4 linked regions of the Schizosaccharomyces pombe genome follow. The protein of the gene in region 1 purifies or fractionates together with the protein of each later gene. This does not show direct contact. Each region holds a gene or a part of one and is shown in the gene's direction. Other genes may lie near its edges. The genes, in order: iml1, npr2, npr3 and sea2.

Evidence for each region.
Region 2: the proteins of iml1 (region 1) and npr2 purify together in Schizosaccharomyces pombe (affinity purification with western blotting; one study listed by BioGRID). This does not show direct contact.
Region 3: the proteins of iml1 (region 1) and npr3 purify together in Schizosaccharomyces pombe (affinity purification with western blotting; one study listed by BioGRID). This does not show direct contact.
Region 4: the proteins of iml1 (region 1) and sea2 purify together in Schizosaccharomyces pombe (affinity purification with western blotting, with the first as the bait; one study listed by BioGRID). This does not show direct contact.

Annotation. Positions count from the first base shown.
Region 1 is NC_003423.3:3,948,375-3,955,636, reverse strand, and holds iml1 (GATOR1-SEACIT GTPase activating complex subunit Iml1), read left to right. Parts: upstream 1-1,827; 5' UTR 1,828-1,961; coding exon 1,962-6,452; 3' UTR 6,453-6,727; downstream 6,728-7,262. Other genes in the region: pph3 (serine/threonine protein phosphatase), read left to right, coding at 1-347, 401-922; phosphatidylethanolamine N-methyltransferase Cho2, read right to left, coding at 6,859-7,262.
Region 2 is NC_003424.3:2,495,303-2,499,544, reverse strand, and holds npr2 (Npr2/3 complex subunit Npr2), read left to right. Parts: upstream 1-1,982; 5' UTR 1,983-2,118; coding exon 2,119-2,626; intron 2,627-2,669; coding exon 2,670-2,806; intron 2,807-2,847; coding exon 2,848-3,432; 3' UTR 3,433-3,701; downstream 3,702-4,242. Other genes in the region: RING finger-like protein Ini1, read left to right, coding at 4,227-4,236.
Region 3 is NC_003423.3:4,303,947-4,308,449, forward strand, and holds npr3 (Npr2/3 complex subunit Npr3), read left to right. Parts: upstream 1-1,914; 5' UTR 1,915-2,082; coding exon 2,083-3,146; intron 3,147-3,211; coding exon 3,212-3,905; 3' UTR 3,906-3,981; downstream 3,982-4,503. Other genes in the region: Ku domain protein Pku80 , read right to left, coding at 1-1,031, 1,072-1,138, 1,194-1,248, 1,293-1,421; bor1 (HC03 family inorganic anion exchanger), read right to left, coding at 4,110-4,433, 4,487-4,503.
Region 4 is NC_003424.3:2,655,277-2,663,019, reverse strand, and holds sea2 (SEACAT complex subunit Sea2), read left to right. Parts: upstream 1-1,964; 5' UTR 1,965-2,435; coding exon 2,436-4,976; 3' UTR 4,977-5,190; downstream 5,191-7,743. Other genes in the region: SM22/transgelin-like actin-modulating protein Stg1, read right to left, coding at 695-1,219; U5 snRNP complex subunit Spp42, read right to left, coding at 5,191-7,743.

The DNA of each region.
Region 1 (7,262 bases):
ATTTACTGGAGCTTTTTCGAATTGGTGGGTCATGTCCAGGTACAAAATATTTATTTCTAGGGGATTTTGTTGATAGAGGGTTTTACTCTGTAGAAACATTTCTCCTGTTATTGACTTTAAAATGTAAATATCCGAAAGAGATGACCCTTATCCGGGGAAATCATGAATCACGACAAATAACACAAGTTTATGGATTTTATGACGAATGTGTAAGGAAATATGGTTCTGCCAATGTATGGCGATATTGTTGTGAAATATTTGATTATCTTTCGCTTGGTGCTTTGGTGGATGGAAAGGTTTTTTGTGTGCACGGTGGACTTTCACCAAGCATCAGCAGTATCGATCAGGTATGTTATTAATTCCGAAAATTTGAACTAAACTTTTAACGCTTTTTATGAAGATTCGACTGTTGGATCGAAAACAAGAAGTTCCGCATGAAGGAGCAATGTGTGATCTACTTTGGTCAGATCCAGAAGATATTAGTGGATGGGGTTTATCTCCCAGAGGTGCTGGATTTTTGTTTGGTGCCGACGTTTCTGAAGTTTTTAATCGCGCTAATGACCTTTCATTCATTGCTCGTGCTCATCAATTGGTTATGGAGGGTTACAAAATCCATTTTTCCGATAAAGATAAACAGTATCCCAAATTTACAAATGAAGAGGACTCTGAGCTGGATTCAGATTCTGCCTCACCTGTTGATGATTCTCCGGCACCTGGAGACATAATAACCATTCCAGAAAAGGATAAAGGAAGCGTGGTTACTGTTTGGAGTGCACCCAATTACTGTTACAGATGTGGAAATGTTGCTTCTATATTACAACTTGATGAAAACCAAACGCAATCCTTTAAGATTTTTGGTACTGCCTCTCAAGAAAGATCTGGCATTCCAACAAAACGACCCATTGCCGACTACTTTTTATGATTATTCAAAATTCATTGCTCTACTTCACTTCCCCAATATCATGTATATAGGTCAACTTGTACTAAAGATTATCCCCTTAACTCTTCTTATTGGTCTCTCATTTTTAATTCTGCACTTATTTAATTCTTGTTTATGGAATTTGGTTATTTTAGCAATATTGATTTGTTTAGGACATCATAAATTTAAAAAGTAATTAAGTTAAATTTTAATTGTAACTTTTTTAAGCTAACTTTCAACGCACAAGATTGTTTAGTCGCTTTCTGAAGGTAATTTAAAGTAGATTGCAAAATGCTCGGTTTTCAAACATTAATCCTCATTTGATCGAACTTCAAACCTGAATTCAGAAACTGGGGTGATGAATATCATTTTTTAAGCTTAATGCTGAAAATTTAATATTACATTATTGAGTCAGCTGGTTTGAGTCTTTGTAGTTTAGACTGCACCCCAATTCAACAAATCCGTTAGCCAAAAAATGAAATAAACAATTGGAATTCAGCCTCTGTTTCAATCACTGAATTGTAATCTAATATCATATATTGAAGTCAATAGAATAAAGTCAATGATATACGAGGTATAAACGTAAGAACACCTACATCTTAAACATTCGATATGATAGAAACATTTTTTTCAAATAAATTCTAAGTAATACAGTATCACAAAAAAAAAAAAAAAAAAGATAACGAAGTGCTTGCTGGTATATTAATGATTGTGTCTTAGACAATCAAGTATTCGTGCAAGTAGTATACATTCTGCCTTAAATTAAATATTTAGTCATGAGTCATATAATATACACAATTATGCTCTACCTTTATAAATGCAACATTTACTATTTGATTTTATGATAAGAGTAACCTGTGTTTACTAGTGCAATTTATCTTGGTGTTATACTGGATTTTTGCAGCTCTACCCCAACATCCGCCTAATCAAAATCAAACGTATAAAGTTGTGTAAAGAGATTATTTACTTCTTTTTTTGATACAATTCTTGTATTTAATTTTTTGATTACTGCCTTAATGGCGTAGGTTGTTCAATTCATGAAATGGCTATTACCTTGAACCTGTGGACGCACGAATCATCATTGTTTCCAAACGATGCAGTCTTAAATTATGATTTAGTACCTTCTGCTAAACCTGGTGATATTTTTGAAATAAGGGCCCAAAATGGTGATGAAATCGCTTTACAGCATAATCACTCAAGCACAGGGAAACTACATGCTAAACGTGAAAAAGAACCAGTATATTTGATGCCCTCCCCTTTAACAGATGATTTAAAGAGGCGACATCCGAATCTGCAACTTTCAGTTGTATCTCACATAAGCTCTTTGCTCAATATAAAAAATCGTGAACCGGTGGTTGTCAAAATTTGTGAAGACAAAACTAATTTAGAAGCCGAACATGTGGTAATTTTTTTTCGGGACCAATTTATATCTAGAAGCGATATGTGGAAGCTTTTTAGAGAATTATGCGGTAAATGCGTTTATCTAAAACAGCGTGTTTCCTTTATAGGAGATGTGCCTGGAGAAATTAGATGTATATGGAGAAAAGGAAAAAAATGTCATTCAGCGTACATTTCAGAACGCACTAAGCCAATTTTTCGGTCTGAAAGTGCCAGATTTCTAATTTTTATTCAAATGAGTGAAGAGATGTGGCACTTTGAAGAAGATGGAGAGCTCAATTATAACAAAGCAATAGATGGTTTTCTTCCTGATCTTTTTTCTTTTTGGAGAGACTTAGGAACTCATCATTTGGTTTCTATAATTTTGTTTACTCGTGTCGAGTACAGCCACCATGGGCCTATGTGTGTTTGGCAACCAAGGTCTCAAAAAAATAGTGAAAAAGGAAGTAGTATTTATCCACAAAATTCTTTCAATGCTTCTATTGATAACGAAGGTGGTCCTTACGAAGATTTTTTCAAGGTGGTGGTGGATAATGTTTCTAGCAGAGATTGGCAACCTGTTTTAGCAAATTTGAAACTAGAACTTGCAAAATTTCGACAAGATGTCATTGTTAGGAAAATTAAGGATGAAAATGGGAGAGAAATTGAGTATATATGCGGAAGGATGACAGGATCCCAAGAAGGCAACTTTTTGGAAGTCATTAATATGGCTGTCTTTCAATTTCAGTCAGATTATATCGACAGAGATTTATCACGTACTGGTACTAGTATCATAATAGTTACCCCAGGAACTGGTTTATATGAAGTAAATGAAAAAATGCTACACTTGACTTCTAAAAGCTTACTCAATACCGTTGTTGGTATGGATATCGTATCCTTAGGAAAAGTTCCTTTATTTCTAACGCCTATTGTTCGATACAAAAATCCGGTGAAAAACAAAAAAAGATCCCAACTAACCAGCAGAATTTCTTCTTCCGTTTCCCCTTCTAATGTAATACCAAATTCCTTAACGTCATCAGTTTCAAACTTCTCAGTGTCTTCCTTTTTGAATAATTTAAAGGAGGATACCGAATGGTTATATACATTTCCAATTGGCTGTAACATTAGTTTTTACAGTACTACGGAAATGAGGTCCTTACGTTCTCCTTGGGAAAATTTAATGCGAGAACATCAATTTGAGCCTACTGCAAAAATGCATGAATTACAAATGATGGGTGTACTGGAAGCCGAAAGTGCCAAAATTTCGATTCCATTATTACAGTCTGATCCATTGTTGAAAGGGTCTGTGTTCAGTGAAGAAGTGCAAGAAGATTACGATGAACGGCAATTTACTGGTGAGGCTGCTGTTAGTGCAAACGATGTTTTGAGCTCATCATCTCCTCGCCATTTCTCATCTCATACACCCGTTAATGTGGACAAAAGTTCTTACCTTGAGATGAATGGGCATAGTCTTTCTACAGTAATTTCAGGGAAAGAATCGATATCTAGTTTTGGAGCTAAAGTTGATGATCTTAAAAGCACCAGCAAAGAGTCGGCAAGACAGTTTGGTAAATCTGCCCTCACCGAAAGGCTACAGAAATTAGCTGGTAACTCTAGCAATGTATCGTCTTCCTTACAAACGTCTTCATCTAATAAGTCTTCACTTCTTACCAAAAAGTCTTCCTTTCCGGCTTTATTAAAAGGTTTCTTGGCTCTCCCCGCTACGGTTACTACTTCGGCAAACCCACTTGGTTTCAAATCTACAATTCAAAGACCTATTCCGATCAAAAATAATGAAGATAGTGATAGTTGCAAGGCTTTTAGTCAAGCTCCTCCAATAGCGACAAAAAAGCCCCCAACGTTTTTAAAGCCCAACAGTCCTGAATATGCTAAGACTGTAATTCCGAAAAGTTCTACCAATTTAGAGAATGAATATCAAACACCATGGAAGATTATTCAAAATCCTTTTAAACTGAAAGAGACAACTGCTGATAATGATCCCGTTTCTTTAAGATGGGAACATCTCTATATGAAAGTGCAGGATGTTAGGAAGTTTAATTGGCTTTCCATGTGTACTCCTGGTGCGCTTCCGTTAACTTTTAGTTACTTCCCTTCTGAAGAGGAATTGAATGATAAATTTGAGGAATACACATACACAATTGGAATCGATCCTGAATTTACTCAAATGAATCAACAGGAATTACTTGCTGAGATGATTTGTCAAAGATTATCACGTGGATATCAAATTGTGGTTAATCCAGCTGCCGCGGTCTCTTATAGCGGTAATCCCAAGGCCAATAAGGCAGGAACGATTACCGATTTCTCTCGCTCTGTAAATAATCAAAGAAATGGGCATTTAACAGTAGGCAGTGATGCAGTTTGCCTTTCTCTAGGCGATAGTCAGTTCCACAGGCTTTCATGTGATTCAGTAGGATACAATATTGAAGTAAAGCGTTATGTCAAAAAGGTTTCTGGTCAAGGTAAAATGAGATACGATTATAATTTTTGGTCTAAAAATGAATGTAAATATGTCAAGTCTAATATCACATTTTCTGCCAATGATTCCGCAAATTATAATTGGAATTACGTCGATCAATTAATATGTGGATTTGAGACTTATTTACCCGACTCTGTTAAATATTGGCGAGCCCGTTTTGTGTTGTTACCAATGTCTACTACATCAACACATGTTTTTCAAAAGTATCAATTGCTGGATCATGCGGATGCTCTAAGCGATGAAGAATTTAGAGTTGAAGGTATTTACAAGCTAAGTGAACTTTTGTATAAAGGAAAAATTGACCCCATGAATGACAGCAATAATAAAACACCGAATACTTCGCCTGCTGAACTTCTAGGAATCAAATTTACAACTTTACCAATGGCTCAGTATATTCACTCTGAATTAGAAGCGTTGCGATTGGATTCTTCTAGGAATGAACAATCATTGTTTATGCCTAATAAACGATTAGATTGCTCTGCTGACCTTCATACCATCGCTAAAGAAATTCAAGGGCCTGGTGGTCCTAAAATTGACGATATTACATGGCATTACAGAATTTATGAGAATTGTTTTCTTGGGAGTGAATTTGTTTCCTGGTTAGCTAATACCTTCATTGGTATCAATACTAGAGAAGAAGCTCTTAAATATGGAAATAAGTTGTTAAGCCTAGGACTCTTTGATCATGCATTAAAAAAACACCCTTTGTTAGATGGCTACTATGTTTATCGAATTTCACCCGATTACAGTATCAAACCTGTTTCAAACAGGCCATATCGTAGTTGGTTCAGTCGAAAAAAAGATTCAGGTCAAAAACATTTAGATAATAAAATAATAACAGAATCAGAAGCTGGTCCTTCTCGGTTAGAGTTGTCGAGACGCATTTTGTTTAATGCAGACGTTGAGAAAAAAAATGGGAAATCCGAAACAGTGACCGTCCATTACGATTTGCTTCATAATCCTGCCTCATGTTATCATATTCGCATTGAATGGTTATTGGCTACAGCAAGTGTTATCGAGAAGCTCCTTCAATCTTGGTCACGGATTTTAGAGCGTTATGGCTTGAAATTAGTGGAAGCTCCAATTCATGAAATTGCAGCCGTCGGAGAACTTAACCCCTTTGACCAAGTCTCGATCATTTCACTAGCGTTAGATCCTCCACCTATTCCTGAACGAGCGCCTCTGGTAAATGATCCAGTGAACTATTCTAAGAATTGGTGGAATGTTAAAATTCTTGAGCACTTTGATTTTATTTTAGACACCGAAGCAGCTAGTACGTTTCCGAAATCAATTACCGCAGTTTATTCTTGGGGAAAACCTAACTTTCGTTACGTACAATACATACACAGAACAGGAACTGTGCTAGTTCAAATTGATGATGATCAACGATTTTTGTGGCTTCCAAATCGCCTTCATAACTCAAAGGTTAGCAAATTGAGTTTCACCAAAAGCAACAAAAGCACTTTGAATCCTAATTTGAAAGAGACTGCTGAAGAATTAGAGCGTAAATTTAGGGAATTTTGCTCAAATAAAGATGAGCTGGATCAGTTTTATGGTATTGTGAATCATGCAAGTGATGATCGTCGTAGTATTTATTCTTCAGCTAGTACTCATGCTTCAAATGCTTCAGCAGATGATGCCTCTAATGTTAACGTATAATTATAATCAATTTCATTTTGACACGATTTCCATAACCTTTTTTTACCTTATTAGATTGTTATTACAGTTTTTATATACTTTAATATAGTCAACGTTTATGAATAATTTACTAAAGGTTATTTTTTTTGAGACTACATTTGGAATATACAAATTGTTCGGTATAGCTATTCAAAATTGGATTCAATCAATGATTAAAATTGATGATCTCAGGTTACCTAAATATCCATACATATTTATCTTTGGGGTTTTTTTTTTGAATTAAAAGATCATTTAAATTATACTTTTCATTTATTAAAATAAAGTATATATATTCAGTAACATTATTTGTCTAAAGCGGTTGAAGCTCACTAGTCATGTAAGAGCAAAAATTCATGTTGAATGAATAAATCATAAAATTGTTGAATATTTAATCATCTTTTGCACCGCTGGGACCATCAAAAGATTGTAAAATTTTTAAGGAATTGACGATTCTTCGAGATAAAGCGCTACAGCTGCCATCTACTTGAACAACGCGATAACTTAAATCTATGCCGAAGCTATACTTGATGATAGAAGTTAGTTTTCTAGCAGAACCTTCAGAAATATCGCACAAGGACGCATCACCATCATGCGGTGTTATATTAGGGTCACAAAATTTAATGGATTTAAGTAAATATGCTGAAACTTCATCCACGTCGGTAGTATTCATTGAAGTTGCAGTGATCACGAAAGGTTCTGTTTTTGCCATAACTAAATGCTTTCCCCCATAATGATAACGGAATTCAAACGTTCCGGTTTCCCAAAATAACAGATCTCCGGAAAACTCAACTT
Region 2 (4,242 bases), on another chromosome or scaffold:
TTGTGTTTTGGAAAGAAAAACTTTCTGAATCTCTGCTAATTCTGAAATTTGAACAATGGAATAAATAAATAATGCGACATGAATGCATAGCAATCCGATGATCTAAGGATGTTAGCACTGTTTAAGAATTAAACTTAAATCCCGCTTGCTTTTTCTAGTTGATAAAAACGGATAGCTTAAAATTCACGTACCTCAATTATATTTTTTGAACTTAAAGCTTCTACGCATAAATATAATATAAAGAAGCATGCAAAAATAAATAGCGTTAATGAAATAGGCAAACTGTCAATTCCAAGATTCTTTAGCAATTCCACAGTACGGAATTGTCCGATACAATATCCTTCAAAACATATTATCAAAAGGCATTCTAGTATAATTACTGTCAAAAAAAAAAATTGATGTTTTTGGAAGTGTCTTCAAGAATAATTTACATCGGCTAAAAGCTTCATAAGTTGTTTCTCTAAAATTTGTAACAGACTGTTCAATTCGATGTTTAAAATCCCAAAACATTCAATTTGGCCGGGTGTGGTAGTGCCTTTAATGTATAGTGCACTCGGATAAACACGTAAATATCACAAGCTAATGTATAAGCGATGACAATTACATAACAGTTTTATGAATTGCGATTTTAACAGAATTATTCAAGTTTTGTTTAAATGATTATTAGATATTGCAATAAAATATCTCGAGTATACTTAGCTAGAGCTGGATGACTCGTCAGTCTTTATCTCACTGAGGTACGTTATAATGATCAACTTGAAAGTGAAGCGTATCAAATTAAAAACAAAAAAAAAGCCATTAACGGAGGCCCTTCAAACTTCAAGCAACTAATTTTGTTAAGTTGTCAAGTTTATGAAAACTCTAAGGATATATTGCTTATAAAAAATAGGAAGGAGAAAACCAGGCAGAACCTGTTTATTTACAAAACGATATAGTAAGAATGAACTAAAGCTCATTAAAAGAAACCAAATATCCTAAAAATTAAACGCATCCGCTCTTTTCGCACTTTAATCTATTCGTTTTAAGCTAAACAACTCGAACAATTATCGAGCTTTCATGCACTTATGCCTAATTGAAGTTTCAATGATTTGACGTATTTTTCGTTGCTTTCTAACAGCGAAAAAATTCACTGGCTCAATCACAATTTTCCACTGTATCTCCTTAATTTATCTTTTATACAGTCAATATGGCTTGGTGCCTCATTATTTTAATTTTCTGTGGAAACTAGCGATTTATATCTTCAAATGTTTGAAAAGATAGGAAATCAATTATAGTAACAAAACAATTCTCTCTCTCTAGATTTATATATGGACAAATAATTGACTCAGTGAATGGATAAAAGGTTTTACAATTATCTAGCGGTTTTGTGATCTTTTTATTTAGGTTTAAGTTAAGCGAAAGCTTACGTTAAGAATTAAGCAGAAGTTGTAATAATACTGCTTTACACAAATTTAGTTTTAGTATTTGAATTCTAGCGTAAAAATAACACAAATACTTTTATTAAAACTTCCTGTTCAGTAAAAATTTGATTTATCCGACTGAAGTCTATTAACTATCGTTTCAAAGATTAACTATTTTTATATGATTACTGTGTATACTGGATATTACTAGCGCAGTTATCAAGCAAAAAGATTAAGAAAATCAAGTTTTATACTTTTTTAAAATCTTTTAACCCTAGAGGCTGCTAGCATCTGTTATCCATACGAAATAATCCTTAATGTTAATACAGATATGATTTTTATCACCTTATTAACATTAATGATGTAGCGAAATGTGGCTGTAGTCAGGAAGCTTTGACGTTAAGAATCAAATTTGTATAATTTACTGACCCAATGTACACAAGTGTTATATGACTTTCCATCTTACCGTTACATCAATGCAGAAATCTGAATATTGTTTGTAAATAATAAATTCATTAGCACAACTACTTTTCTGGGTAGCGTACAAAGATTTATATGGTTTTTGAAGTTAGTCCCCAAATCGACACTTGCACATAAGCTTTTGCATCCACCAGTAGGGGCATAACGAAATATTAAAATAAATATCTTACAAGTTTTAGCTTCATAAATTAAAGGTTAGATAAAAAACTCGGAAATTTTTAAATTCTTTAGCTTTCCTATGGAGTATTCTGAAGAGGGATGGATGGATCAAGCTGACAGCTTTCCGCCTCGTTTATTGGCAATATTTTTTGCATTATTTGATCCCTTACAAGGCCCTATAGTAGCTTGTGAAGCTCCTGCTGGATCGGTAACAAATGTTGATGGTGGAAAGAACTGTCTTTTACCATTCGAAACTATTTCTGACTATGTGATTCCGAAACGCGAACTTTGCAACAAAACAATTACTGTTTGTACTAATCATTATCAAGTCATTGGACATCCAATATCAATTATAGGTAGCAATTATGAGAGAAATGCTTTGATTTTCAACATGTGTATGATTTTTCATGAAGAAGAAGATTCAGCATGTTATATACCACTAGTAAAGCGACTAGCGAGAAATTTAGAGGTCTTAGAAAAGCAAATTCATTATATATCTGATTTGAACAAAAGACCTGTAATTTTCAGCGTAATTGAGCAAATTTTGGAGGACATGAACAACTTTTGTGAGTGTATGATACAGCTAGGTATGCGCAATTATTTCATTCGGACTTTAACTAACTTTCTAAGACGACCAAAATTCTATTAATATCAAGCTTTTTCCCGTTTTTCCTTCTCCTCCTACTGTTAAAAGTTTTCATGTACCAATTTTAACGGCTCAGTTGGATTTACTCATGGACAAAAATTGGGATATGACTGTTCAAAAGGTACTCTCTTCCAAAAAAATTAAAATTGACTAATTTTTTAGGTTTATCCTTTTATTAATGGCATAAACTCAGTTCAAAGGATTGCTGAATTAGCTAATGTTAGCTATAGAAGTTGTCAAAAATGCATGGAACACTTTCTATATTACGGTTGTCTAATTATAGCTGATATTTTTCAATTCCATAATATTTATGCTATGACTACTAATGCTCCTAACCTTTTACAAGACCCAGATTTTCAAAGAGAATGTACGGCATATGTATCAACTAACAGCTCTAATGCGAAAAACGTTACTTTTGCTACTATTTTCAAACTGTATTGTAGTTTAAGGCAAGGACTTCGTGTTAAGGATTGGATGAACGAGAACAAAGAAATTTTCAAAGGTTTAGACGTTCGAAGGCTAATCTCGTTCGGTACTATAAAAGGGCTAATATATCGTGTGCATAAATACCCATACTTAGAACGAAGGACTATGAGGAATAACTTAACCGAAGAAGAGAAAAAACTGCTTGGTTTGCTGGATGGAAAGCACCATTTTGATGAATTGTGTGTCACATTGAAAAAGTCTCCAAAGGTTGTTAATGAAATGATTGCTGGATTGGGTGATGCCTGTTTTATTTATGTATGAATAAAAAAAATAGTCTTGCGATTAGTCTTGTTATTTTTTCGGATGATCGGAGCTATAGTCGTTTTAATTTATCTTCATTGCGAGTTCTGCTGTCAATTTCAAAATTGTCAAGTATAGGATTGGAATACATTAGCATCATATTTATGACTATGAATAAATTTGAAGATATTATCAAAACACTGCAATTTACAATGGTTGATTATCTGTAAATTGGCCTGTTAGGGAAAACGATTGTAATTGTGCCTTTTGTTTATACGCTGAAACTTAAGAATCTAAATTTTGGTTATCGCGTACCTAATTAGAAGTATTTAACACTTTATTTTCGTCATTTATTTGTTTTACTACAAAGAATTATTTATTCTACAAGATTACCATGAAAATTGAATTTCATCAATACATCAGTAAACATCGACTACTGTATGTCCATTGATCATAAATTCATAAATGTTAATAGTAGATTTTATTTCTATTTTACTTTATTGTTCAAAAATTCCGTAAATATGGCGCAACAAAAAAAGATCCTCAGCTTAATGGAGAGTATATTTGGTACATACTTGCAAGCATTATTAATACGTTGTTTATAATAGCACTTCAACTGCTAACGCGCATTTTCCGACTTGTTTATGCCATTGCATGGCTGTATTGCAGCTTAACGTATCCATAATAGCGAGTACGAAATTTGAAATCAGAAGAGGATGTTTATATTTTACTAAGCATAACGTAACGCGAAGGACCGTCGTAAATTTACTATATATATCTGCTGCATTGAAATTAATCCTCTGAGTATATTCACAATGTCAAAGCGTATGG
Region 3 (4,503 bases), 360 kb from region 1:
ATGGAAGTTGTATATCAACCAAGTAATGTCTTTTAAACTCCACGTAAGGCATCAAGACCAGCAAAACTGGTACGCCCTTATCTTTAGAAACAAACCTTGCGAGCGCATATCGGTGTTCACGTTCAAGGGATTGAACAAAGGCAGAAAAATTTAATTTGCTTTCGAAGTCATCTTTTGGAACGATTATATTAGTATCACTAATGGTATAATAAATTGGAAGACTAGATTTAGGAATAAATCCAAGGATTTCATAACCGGGTATTGTATCTAAAGCCAATACGTCTTCATCTGATCGGCTGATCGGGACGATTGTCCTACCATAACTATAACCGCTTTCCAAGTCTTCTCTTTTAACCTCAAAAGAATCGTTTGTTTTTGGATCACGAACCATGTACGATCGAACAGTAGACACTGCATCAGATTCCATACTTTTGTTTTCCACATTTGAATTTTCGATATTAAGACATTCATAATTTTTAGACATATCGTTTTCATAAAAAGCAGATGATGTTGGCGGTTTAGTTAAACGAGTTCTAGGATATCTTTCAACCTGTATGCTTATAGACGTATCTTTGCTGTCTCTATTACCAATACTAAATGTACCTCTAAAGATTGCGACAGGTCTCACTTTACGAACCCAAGGTTTACCGATGTTGTTATAAATCTGTTGAAATGTGCAGTACTGACCATGACAACTCTCAACAAACTCTTGAATTCGAACTTCGTTTTCCTTTTTCTGAGATTCCTTTAAAGGCTCAGAATAATTAATATCTTCTTGATCAAAATCAACTCCATAAACACCTAGAAAAACATCATGCTGCAGTAGTTGTTCGGCAATTCCAATGTAATCACTAAAGTCGATAATCCCCCTAGCTGCCGTAAGCACTATCATCTTCTTCTTCCATTTGTTCTTTTTACAATGCCGAGCCATCAAATCAAAGGACACAACTATTGCAGATATCAGATCGCCTTGCATAGTATTGCTTGGTTTTAACGTTTGAGAAACGGATTGTAGCTTTGAAAATAAGGCACTAGTTAAGAAGTTAATGGAGCATTTAAGAGAAAGCTTACGTTTGTATAGGATACAAAACACTGATATTCCAATAGGCTTCCTGCTCAGCTAAATCATTTTTCGTATCTAAACACCGTAAAAGTTAGAAGTAGTGTACCTTTAAAACATTACAATAGAATACCATCGCATTTGTAACCAACGATTCCAACTACGTCTGTCTTCCTATTTGCTAAAAACTGAGTATGTGTCAATAGGGTGTCGATAATGTTGAGCAAAATACCTTATGAGACAATTCGTCGTGAAAATACGACAAAGTCCATTCGAGATCAGAATGAGACCTGCCATGGTGACAGGTCCCCATATCTTTGCCCAAGTCAAGTACAAAAACAGTACATTCCTTATCACTCATACGAATTGTTAAGGAATACAGATTTGGTGGAGGTCAAAGCAAGGTGAGATTTGTTGTAGAACATTGGGGCCTCCGATGCTTTCAACAGTTAGATATCAATTACACGGTCATTTTAAATGATTCAGGTATTTTCTTCGCGGTATGAATATACTACATTAACAGTAAGTCCAGCAGCATATGTGCAAATGCACATGTGACTGAAATGTAAATAACCCAAAACATTGTATATAAATTAGTCAATTCATTTTTATAACTTAAATCAGAAACTCTTGAGAATTGAATTGGAGCTATTAAAGTTGCTAAGGTTTTACGCACATTAGAAATTTTGCATAGCGATGCTTTTACTTTCAATTCACACATTAATTTACAAAGCCGTGAACTCATATCTCAAGATGTCAATAATTAGTTAACATTCAGTTTAACTATTCATGTTAGATCTTATTAGTTTTGTACTAGGCGATTAAAACACCGAGCTGCCAGATGCATATCGCTCACAAATCTTTCGTACTACACGCAAATTACCAGAAAACGATACCACCCCCTTGAGGTATAATGTTTAAGGTGATATTTGGTTTTCTGTTGTGAAAAATATATTAAAAAACACACATATGTACTTCAATTATCGAACATACACATTTATACTTTGTTTTAAAACGCCAAAATGGTACGCTTAACTCCTCGATTAGTAGCCATTTTCCTTGTTGAAAAAACAACATCAGGAGCTAATTTCGTCTTTCACTGGCCGCTACAACCTCAAGTACGTCTACAAGCCACTCATCATAATAATGATTCAGCGGAGTCTGCAATCGGGATGCTCGACCTTGATGACAGCGATGATGATGAGAATAATAGGTTTACTGAAGTAGCTGACGATACACATGTACTTGGTTATGAAAAAGGCTTTCTCGCAAATATGCTAAGTCCTCGTATTGAACTTTGCAATCAAAAATTTGAAATTTGGGTGGATGGTCTTACTTTTTTGGGATGTCCTGTTCATATTGGTCCGAACGGTGAGTGGGCTAAACGAAGGAAACCACGAACTACTGTTGAGTCTAATGCTTCTTCGAGCCATTTGGTATCAAAGCCCGAATCTTCACACCCTTCGACAGGAAGTTTTGAAGTAAAATCATCTTCATCAAAATCGAGATCTTCAATGTCTTTATTTCATGTCGTCTTTGTATTAAATGTGCCTACAGCTACCGTATATCGCCCTACTGTAAACACGATGTATGATCATATAGTAGTCAAGTTAGTTACTGGACTTAAATATGAACAAGCAAAACGGAATTATGTTGAAAATGAGTGTATACACATCTTAAAACTGACTGAAAAATATTCAAGCCAAAACGTCCCATTCGATGTGTATGCCGCTCAAATCCCTCATCACTCAAATCTTGCTTCGGTTCTTGCTACTACATATGAGGCTTTAATTAACATGCATACGGCTTATTTAGAGATAAATCAATCGATTAACTTAAGCTTACTCTGGCCTATGTCGGTTTCCACCAACACACTTGAAAATTACGAACTGCAGGTTAGACCATCAACTATTTTAGCATCTCAAACCATCTTCTCTGAAGAACATCCTTCCTCTATTGAACCTTTCGTTGCCCCCTATTGGACTTTGTTGCTCTTAAAGGATACAGACACTATAATGAAACGTGTTCCTCTTTTACAAAATTCTCTTCTTTCTTCTTTCATTGCCATAGTAAAACCTAACTTAACGTAAGTTTTGTCAAGTCTAAACAAAATTTATTATTGCTATTAAATACTAACTTACAATATTTCAGGTTCACAGATATCGCTAATCGTCTAGGAATATCAGTATCAGAATGCTTTATTCTAGCAAAACACCTTATTCATTGGAGAAAGGCTATCGCTATTCCTCCTTTGTTAATCCGGAATACTTATGTTACATCCCCAACTGCTAATCTGTTTAATTTGGAGGAGGAGTCAAAGCTTTTTAAAAAGGAATTTCCGAGCCTTCCCTCACTGTCAACATTTTTAGCTATTTTGTCGTTTAAACCGCGACCATTTGCCTCCATTATTCCATCGAAAGATCATGAGTTAGTTTATTTGGAAATGCTTGCTTGGCTGTGTCGAAGAAATTGGGTTTATGAACAGAATATCTATATGTATATTCTCGTTCCAGAAGAAATTAAGAAAAAAGCGATTGCACTAATAGAATCTGATGAGTCTTCTAAAAATGACATGCAGCTTAGAAAGCAACTTGAACAAGATAATGGCAAAGAGTCTATTATCATTGATCCGCACTCTGCCTCTTTGCTTGAACAGAAATGGATTCAAATTATAGCTTATGAGAGGGGACCAGAAATGGCTCCATTGTTTACGTCAATTGTCAAATATTTAAATGGTAGGTTTGCTTTACAAACTATATGGGTTGCCGAAGGCTTACCAAGGAAACTAATGCGAAATATTCTTAATGAGTATAATGATTACATCCTTCGATGGCATTCTTGGTGAAACTACGAAAGTATAGCTTGGACTAGCTTATTAATATTTAATCAAAATTTAACACACCAAATATATTACCATTGTACGATATTAGTAAATTAATTATTAGAAAACGTCTTTGAAATCAAGTCATGACAAATACCTAATTATACAACCTATTCCATCAAGCTTTTTTTATATTTTATAGAAGACCCCATCTTTAAAAAAAGTAGATTATACTTTTTGATAAGCAATAATTCCCACATTTTCGTCTAAAATTTCAAGATCTTCTTCAAGGAACCATTTAGGCATACAATAAGTCCTAAATGGAATCAGTAATAAAATAATAATAGGGAAACCAATGGATGCTTTATCAACCTGAGTAATTGCAAAGGTAGCACCAAAACCTATTAATTGCAAAATAGTGTATAACCAAACTACGCGTTTTGAGCTACAGTGGTTTAAAGTATGGTTTTTAGATACCACCTTTCTGTCACTTAACATCCAGATTACGTTTTGAGTGATACCGTTGCCAAATATTGCTGAAAACCCCATCACCTAAAATTCAGTTAGCAAAATATAATCTTCCCTTCAAAAAAAAAAAAAAATACCCAAAATAATCCTGCTA
Region 4 (7,743 bases), on another chromosome or scaffold:
CATGCAATTTTATTATCTACTTTGTTTCTTGCAAAACTGGTCTACCAGCATTTTCTTTTGTATACAAGCTTTAAAATTTTTATTTAATTTCTGACTTGAGTAAATTTTAAGCAAACAATTTTAACAACATCTCTAGTATTTCTGCAATTTTCAATGTACATACATTTTTTTTTTATAATATCTCACAAAACTATTTGTAAATACGTTTACCGACCTGCTTATCATTTAAGAAATTGAATACAAAAATAACAAAATAAATAAATAAAGTGTGCATTTTTATTAATCACTGATACTTCCATAACTAATTTTTGCAACATTTTTTTTTTTCTCTGCAGCTTTGTAAGGAAACGCTCATGAAACAATGAATTGTCGTATTGCTTTTTTAAGTCATTTGATACGACGAGAAATCTAGCAATACAGCACCAAACATAAGATTTTAAATGTGTTTTCAAACTACGAATCAAACTATAATTCAATTTATGTTTTAGTGTCGTAAAAAAAACATATCATTATGAATATTTAAAGCAAAACTTAAGCTTCTATATTTATACACATCTTTTACAAGACCTCACGTTTCACTCCTATTATGGATTCGGCAGATTTTACGAATGAATGAAAATAAATAAGTTATCAAAAAGTACAAGAAGCGAAGATATAAAGTTATACAATCTTCAATCTCTTTCCCTACACAAGACTAATACATATTTCCGGTCGGGTCCCTGCGTCTAGAAAATGCAATCTTCTCGGTTCCCTGTGTCGGCATATCAAAGCTTCCATACTGAAGACTATTTACGCCTTCTCGAAACTCACGCTGCTGCTGTGCTGAGAAAACACGAGGCTTCTTCTCTGCCAATTTAGGACCCAAACCACGAACTTTGCCGGGAAACATTTTCGCGGCATAGCGCGAAAAGGAGTGAATACTTCTTAAAACCTGTTCATCATTTCTCCGCTCAAATAAATCAGAAGTTTGAAACATATCTTGTGAAGGAACATGTACAACTTGCTGTGCATAGTTAATGAAGGCAGATATGTTTTCCATTTGGACAAAAGGCATGTTAGATTCTTTGTATCGAATGTTAGCGCCTAAAGCTTCTTTGCAAATTCTGCAAAGAATCACCCCGGATTGTAATTGATCCAGTAAGTCTAACTGAGCATTCAATTTCGTATGCAAAGTTTCTTCGATCCATTCTCTTGCTTCTTTTTCAAGTTGAGACGTCATTTCTCACGAAAATTTAAATAAAAATAAAGAAAAGTTCCAAGAAATTATATCACGGAACGCCCAATGACAGTTTGGTTTTTCAGAGGTGGTTAGTGAAAAGCGGCTTCGTATAAGCCTGACGAGTGCCATCTTAATTCAATGTGTAGCAACTGGACTTAATAGATCATTTAGCGTAACTCCAGCTACGCAATTCGTATCTGAGTTTAAGGTACAGTAGACTGCGTAAACTCTTTATCAGCAAACTAACTCTTGTACGGTAAACTGATGATTTGTTCTTACTAATTAGTACTATATAAAGTAGAGTCGAATTACTTTGCTTCACAATTCGTTTATGGAATGAAGACTTGTTTATTTAATTTCGAAAGCATCATTATATTACAAAATACAAACCGACAAGGTACTGCAAACCGCTTTTTCGATTGACACTGTGCAACTGACATTGGACTGACCGGCTTTGCTTACTTATATCGTCATATATAACATGTTATCTTCATATTTAATATTGTAGCTACTATAACTCTACGAAAGAAGCATTGAAAGATAAGCTCAACAGTACCATTCTTTAAATGTTGTAAATCAGCGTAAACGAAATTTTAAATCATAAGTCATGTATACGCGACAAATGCCATAGTAAAATGTGAAACCTATATAATGAACTCTACAGGAATGCAGTATAGCGTTACAGGATGCAATATTGCTGATTCATAGCGAGATTCAGAAGTAAATTCACAAAACCAAACTTACTAGAAGCAATAAGCAACTGAACTTCGTAAAAATAAATTATATTTGAACTTTTATTCTTTTGAAAACTTCCGATGTGTAATTGTTCTGATTGAATTTCCTCAATAATTGAAAATTCGAAAGCTCTTATTTGTTCACTAACATTGGACTTGATATTTACATTAGCAGAAACTTTTCTTACTGTTAGTTGCTCCTCTACTTTTCTACTTTATCTTTTTGGTTAATGTATCAAAACAAATAGTTTGATAAAGAATAGTCTACTTTTTTCTGACTTTTACTATTGAACGATCTTGCAACGTTAATTTTACCAATGTACGGTGAGTGTCACCATACTTGCATTTCACTTCAGCAATTTCTTTGACTTCCTGTCCGATATTTAAGAACTTGTTTCCTTTTCTGTATGCAAATTTCCTAAATCATTTTAGAAGGCATCAGCTGCTACTCTACCAGCTTCATTTTGTTTTCAAATTCGTAAATGCCTTCACGAAACTCAAACGTCCTTCAGCGACCTACTTATGCCCAACTTGCTAGCACATCTGTAAAGTCATCCAAAGGACTTGTTAGTTACCAAGACTGGGTTGTTGATGTAAAGGCCTCCATCAGTGCTATTTCGGTAAATAAAAGCCGTACAAAAGTGGGTGTAGCAGGCCGAGAGCTTCTAAAAGTTCTAGCTGTTAATCCAAACTCTTCAAAGCCTCCTGTTTGCATCTCTGACCTTCTACAAAAATCAACACAAACAAAGCACATCTCTTGCAATGATGTAAAGTGGGGTAGTAGTTTTGCTTCAAATTTAATTTTTACATGTTCACCGCTTGGTAATCTCAATGTATGGGATGTTAATTTAGAAGCCCTTCTCTATGACTTTAATGAGCATTCTCGAGCCGTACATAAATTGGATATCTCTTCATTTCACCCGTCTTACGTTTTAACAGCCTCTCAGGATGGGTTAATTAAGCTTTGGGATTACAAGGAAAGCTCATCAACAATCACTTTTCGTGGAAATTCTGAAGCTGCTCGAGACGTCGTATTCTCCCCTTCTGAGCCAAATGAGTTCGTTGCCGCTTATGACAGTGGGATCTTGCAAAAATGGGATATCCGGTTTCCAAAACTTCCTTTTTTAAAATTAGCTGCACATAATGGTGTTGTTTTGTGTGTTAATTATAGTCCTAATGGTGTTTTTTTAGCGTCATGCGGGAGAGATAAGACTATTCGTATTTGGGATTCCACAAGCAACAAAAAAAAGTCCCTTATAACTATCAATAATGTCAGTCCCCTCAATTGTGTTCGTTGGCGACCGGCTAATCAGCAATCGAGAGGTTCTAATCAACTTGCAAGCTCTTCTCTTGTAGGTGATACCGCAATAAATGTTTGGGATATTACTAGGCCTTATATCCCATACAGAACCGTCAGTTGTCATGATAGTATTGTTTCAACGATGCATTGGGCTTCTACAGAGCTACTCTGGTCTTGTAGTAAAGATGGAATTTTTTCTCAGACGAGAGTTGAAAATGCCTTTAATTGTATTGATATGCTTCCACGTGCAACTAGTTCATGGTCAACTAAAAATAGCCTTGTGTTCTCTTCAAATCCTATTTCTAATCAAAGATTGTCGTCGTTAAATCGTGTCGCATCTTTTGAGAGCAATATCAGCTCTTTAAAGTCCGCTTTATATGCCTCTCAAAATTCTGATGGGTCCACAAGTAATCCTGTTCCTTTTGTGCCTCACAATTTTGTTGGCATTCCTCAGGAACTAGGGATCCTTGCATATCGCTCTGAAGATGTTGCTCAATTTTGCTATTTAGCCAAAAATTATCGCATATCAGGAGATATCTCTTCTGCTTGTAAAGAGAACGCATTTTTTGCACGAAATGTTGGAGCTGAATTTGCTTATCAAATTTGGGATGCTTTGTATTTTTCACTAGGGGTACTTAACAATTCTGATAAAGGAATTAGTGAATTAATAAATATTCCTTTTGTTTCTGCTAACAATTCTATGGCTGATGATGAGAAAGGTCGAAATTTAAAAAATTTAACGCAAATTTCAACGTCCTCAACCCCCGCTCATGATAATTTATCATTAAATGATTTTTTTGAACCACGGGAAGCATCTACTCCTTCAGAATCCTCTAATTCATCTATCGAATCCGAGGACAATCTCGATAAAGCCGTCCTTAATAAGCAATCGCAATGGCATGATTTAGAAAATCCGATCGTATTAAAGAAAGGACAAGCACCGGTTAATAATTTTTCAACTGATAGCCGGGCAAGCATCAATTCATCCTATTTACTAGATTCTGCAGCATCAAATTATTCTGGTACGTCACATAACGAAATGTTCAATTCATTCCACAGAAGTTCTGTTACATCTGCTTCAATCAAATCGAGAGAAGCCGTATTGAGTGCTGGTAATTCTTCACGTCGAGCATCTATATTTTTAGACCAGTTATCATTACATGGAGATACTGATTCTGAAATTCCTATCGATGATCTACCTCCTATTGAACTTCCTTATGTTGTTACATCGATTATAAGCGACTGTATATCTCGAGGAGATGTCCAAACGGCAGCCTGCGTTTGTTCAGTTTTTTCATACCTAACTATAGATTTACCACGGATTCAATTAGACGATTTACTTGAAAGTTATGTTGATTTGTTAAGGAGATTCGGAATGTTCAGTGAAGCTACTCTCCTTATAAACATGTCTGGTTCAAAAAATCTCAAGTACATTCATTCAAGTAGTAGAGATTTGATTTTTGAAATGGAAAACAAAAAAGCAACCGGTAACGAGCAATCCGAAAAAGGTAAAGAAAATGCAAAGACCGTTACTAGTCTCAAAAAATGTGTTTATTGTGAGCTACCGTTAAGAGGCGTGCTCGTTTATCCTCCCGTTTGTGGCCACATCGGTCATGAAAGCTGTCTACGTTCTTGGTATTTTGATAATACAGACGATGCATTGCCAGTATGTCCAGTTCCCGGCTGCGGTGTCAAACTGCTAGATAAACGTGCTCTGATTTAAAAAACTATAATCTAACGCATATGTACTTGATGAAAAATTTGTATTACTATAAACTAATAATGATAATGTGGGATATTTTAAAAACCCATTTTTCTAGCTTTTTCACTAAATTCCATTTAACTAAAGCAAGATGTCATAAAGCACTCAAATTAGCAAAAATCAAAATATACATTAATTGCCCAAAATCCAGTTACGAAAATAAATAGCTCCTCATTCATGCAAATGCATCTGGCATATCTTCCTCTAATCTGTCATTCGTCTCCAGTTCAGTATAGCTTATTACATGAGTAGGTCTATGCTCTAAAGCAAAGAATGGCAGAGGGACATCAAGTTTTAAACTGTACGTCATTTTAGGACTGAAGCTTGCACCATTGAAATTATAATTCCATACGCCCTCTTCTGGTACCAAGAAAAATCCTTGAATTCTATCGGACAATAGCAGCTGACATTTTTCAGCCATAGAAGGTTCATACCCGATAGCTTCATCACTGTTGATATCCATGTTTTTTGATCCCCACTCAATTCCTTCCTTTGACACAGTATATGCAGCTAAGGATATCGAACCAGGAATGTAGCTCACTGTCAAAGTTACAGCTTTGGTATCCCATTCAGGATGAGAAGATAAAATTTTTGCATGTGTAGTTACATCGACAGATGATAAATAGGGAAGTTCAGAACTTTGAGTGTGTATCCAACCAAGGGGCTCAAGGTCTTCTAATATAGAAGGCTGAAGATCATGAGGCAGTTTAGAAGGAAGCTGCACATTTCTTATACTGCCAAGCTGTGGTACAAGTGCAATACAACGAATTTCCTTAATTTGAGGGTTGTCTGACGGACTTTTACCATACATATATCCGGCAACCTGTGTCCTTAAATCGGATATCGTAACAAACTTACGAAGCAGATTTTGAGGAAGAATGTATGTATAAGGAAAAGTTTCGCTGATATTATCAGAGTTAACATAAATGTTTTTTGTACGAAGGGGTAAACTGATAGATGATATGGCACGATTTCTCCATTCTGTTTTACTAGAAAACTTTTCATTTTCATACGCAGATGTTGTAGTAACCACCATTTCATCACCATGCACGTTAGTAGTTTTTGTGGTGACAGCCGTAACTTGGGCATTCTCACGGCCTTGCTTTTCTATTTCAGCTATCTGTTGACGTTGAAGAGAAGGAGCCGTTATTGTCATACCGAGAATAATATCTCGCACTTCCGAGTTCGTAAGACTAGCAACGTTAATATTGTTTTTCTTAGCATAATCAGCAAGGATCAAATCTCTAAGTTTCGGTTCAACATCAAGCCATTGTTGATCATCCAGGTTGGGCCACACGTGATTCTCTTTTGTAATTATAGACTTGTCTGGTCTAAGAATTAGCTTCGTTTTCTCAGTATTGACATTCAATGCGCGCAAGATAAGTATCAAGCGTGAAAAAGCTGTATACGATGATACCGATTGAAGCCAGTCATCATATAAATTGAAAAGTACCATTTGCGGTTCGGTGGCACGTAAAATCAAATCATTGATTTTATCAAGTTTAATAATCGCTTGGAAAGGAAGCTGTAATTCACTACCCTTAATGGTTATATTAGGAAAGTCCAAAAGATGAACTTCTAATGGATCCAACATGCCCTTTCGAGTTACTATAATCTGTCGAGGTTGTTCTTCAACAGGCAGAGAACGAATCAAAGCAGCAACTTCTTCAGCAGTCTTCCATTTCGCCAATTGTCCCAATCGTTTTTGTCCCGCCCAAACTGACGTATGAATAACTTTTAAGAACAATTGACCAGTTCTCGGATTGAATATAAAAATAGCACCATTAATGGGTTTCGTAGTCAAATTACCTTCAAATGTTTTATGAATGGTAACCCGATAAACATTAGTATCATCAACGAATAATTGAATTTGATTACTAAAGAGTTCAGCATAATTTGAGGAGGACAAATACTGCTCTTGGGGTTCAGAAGCATATAATTGAAGACCTTTTCGTATGCGTTCACGCAACACATATAAGGCTGGATTGGCTTTCATGATCTTGTTCATGCTCTGTTGAATTAATGGTTTCATACCAGGAATCCAGTTACCATATGCACTATGCATATTGTAACAAAGATCAATGCCGATTAAGACACCGGTCGGTGAAGGATACATGCTTTGAGCATCAGTGCTATAATCCAAAAATTTAGCTCTAGTATAACGTTCAATATCATGAGAATCATAATCTCCAAATCGAAGTTGTACATCAATCCAATATTTGTTGGTGGTAGTGTTGTCAAGCACATCGCGATTATCGTTCAATAAGGATGGCCTTGATACGTTCCATTTATAGGCAGCCAAAAGGAGGATATCTGCACAAGAACTATTCATTTTATAACTTTTACGAGGATGGATAGTTTCTTTTTGGACTGTTTCAATTTGCAATGACTCTAATTCTTGGTCAAGCACTTGACACAAATCCCAAACAACAGATTCATGAATTTTTTGCCATAAATGAGAACGAAAAATTTGAATGAGTGAAATCTTCAGGGTTGGAATTTTGCCATGCATCATGATTCCAGTCAAATCCAGTTGTACTTGAAATCCGACATAAACGTTAGCACGATTGATAGTGGGACTCCACCAAAGCGTAAATCTACGGTTAGGGATTTGATTTAAACCTGAACGCTGAGCATTAGTAAGCTTTTTGAACTTCATGGATTCTTCAAAACCAGATGCTTTTTCCCAAAAAAGACCTTCCCATGAAGGAAATCCAGTAGCTTTAAA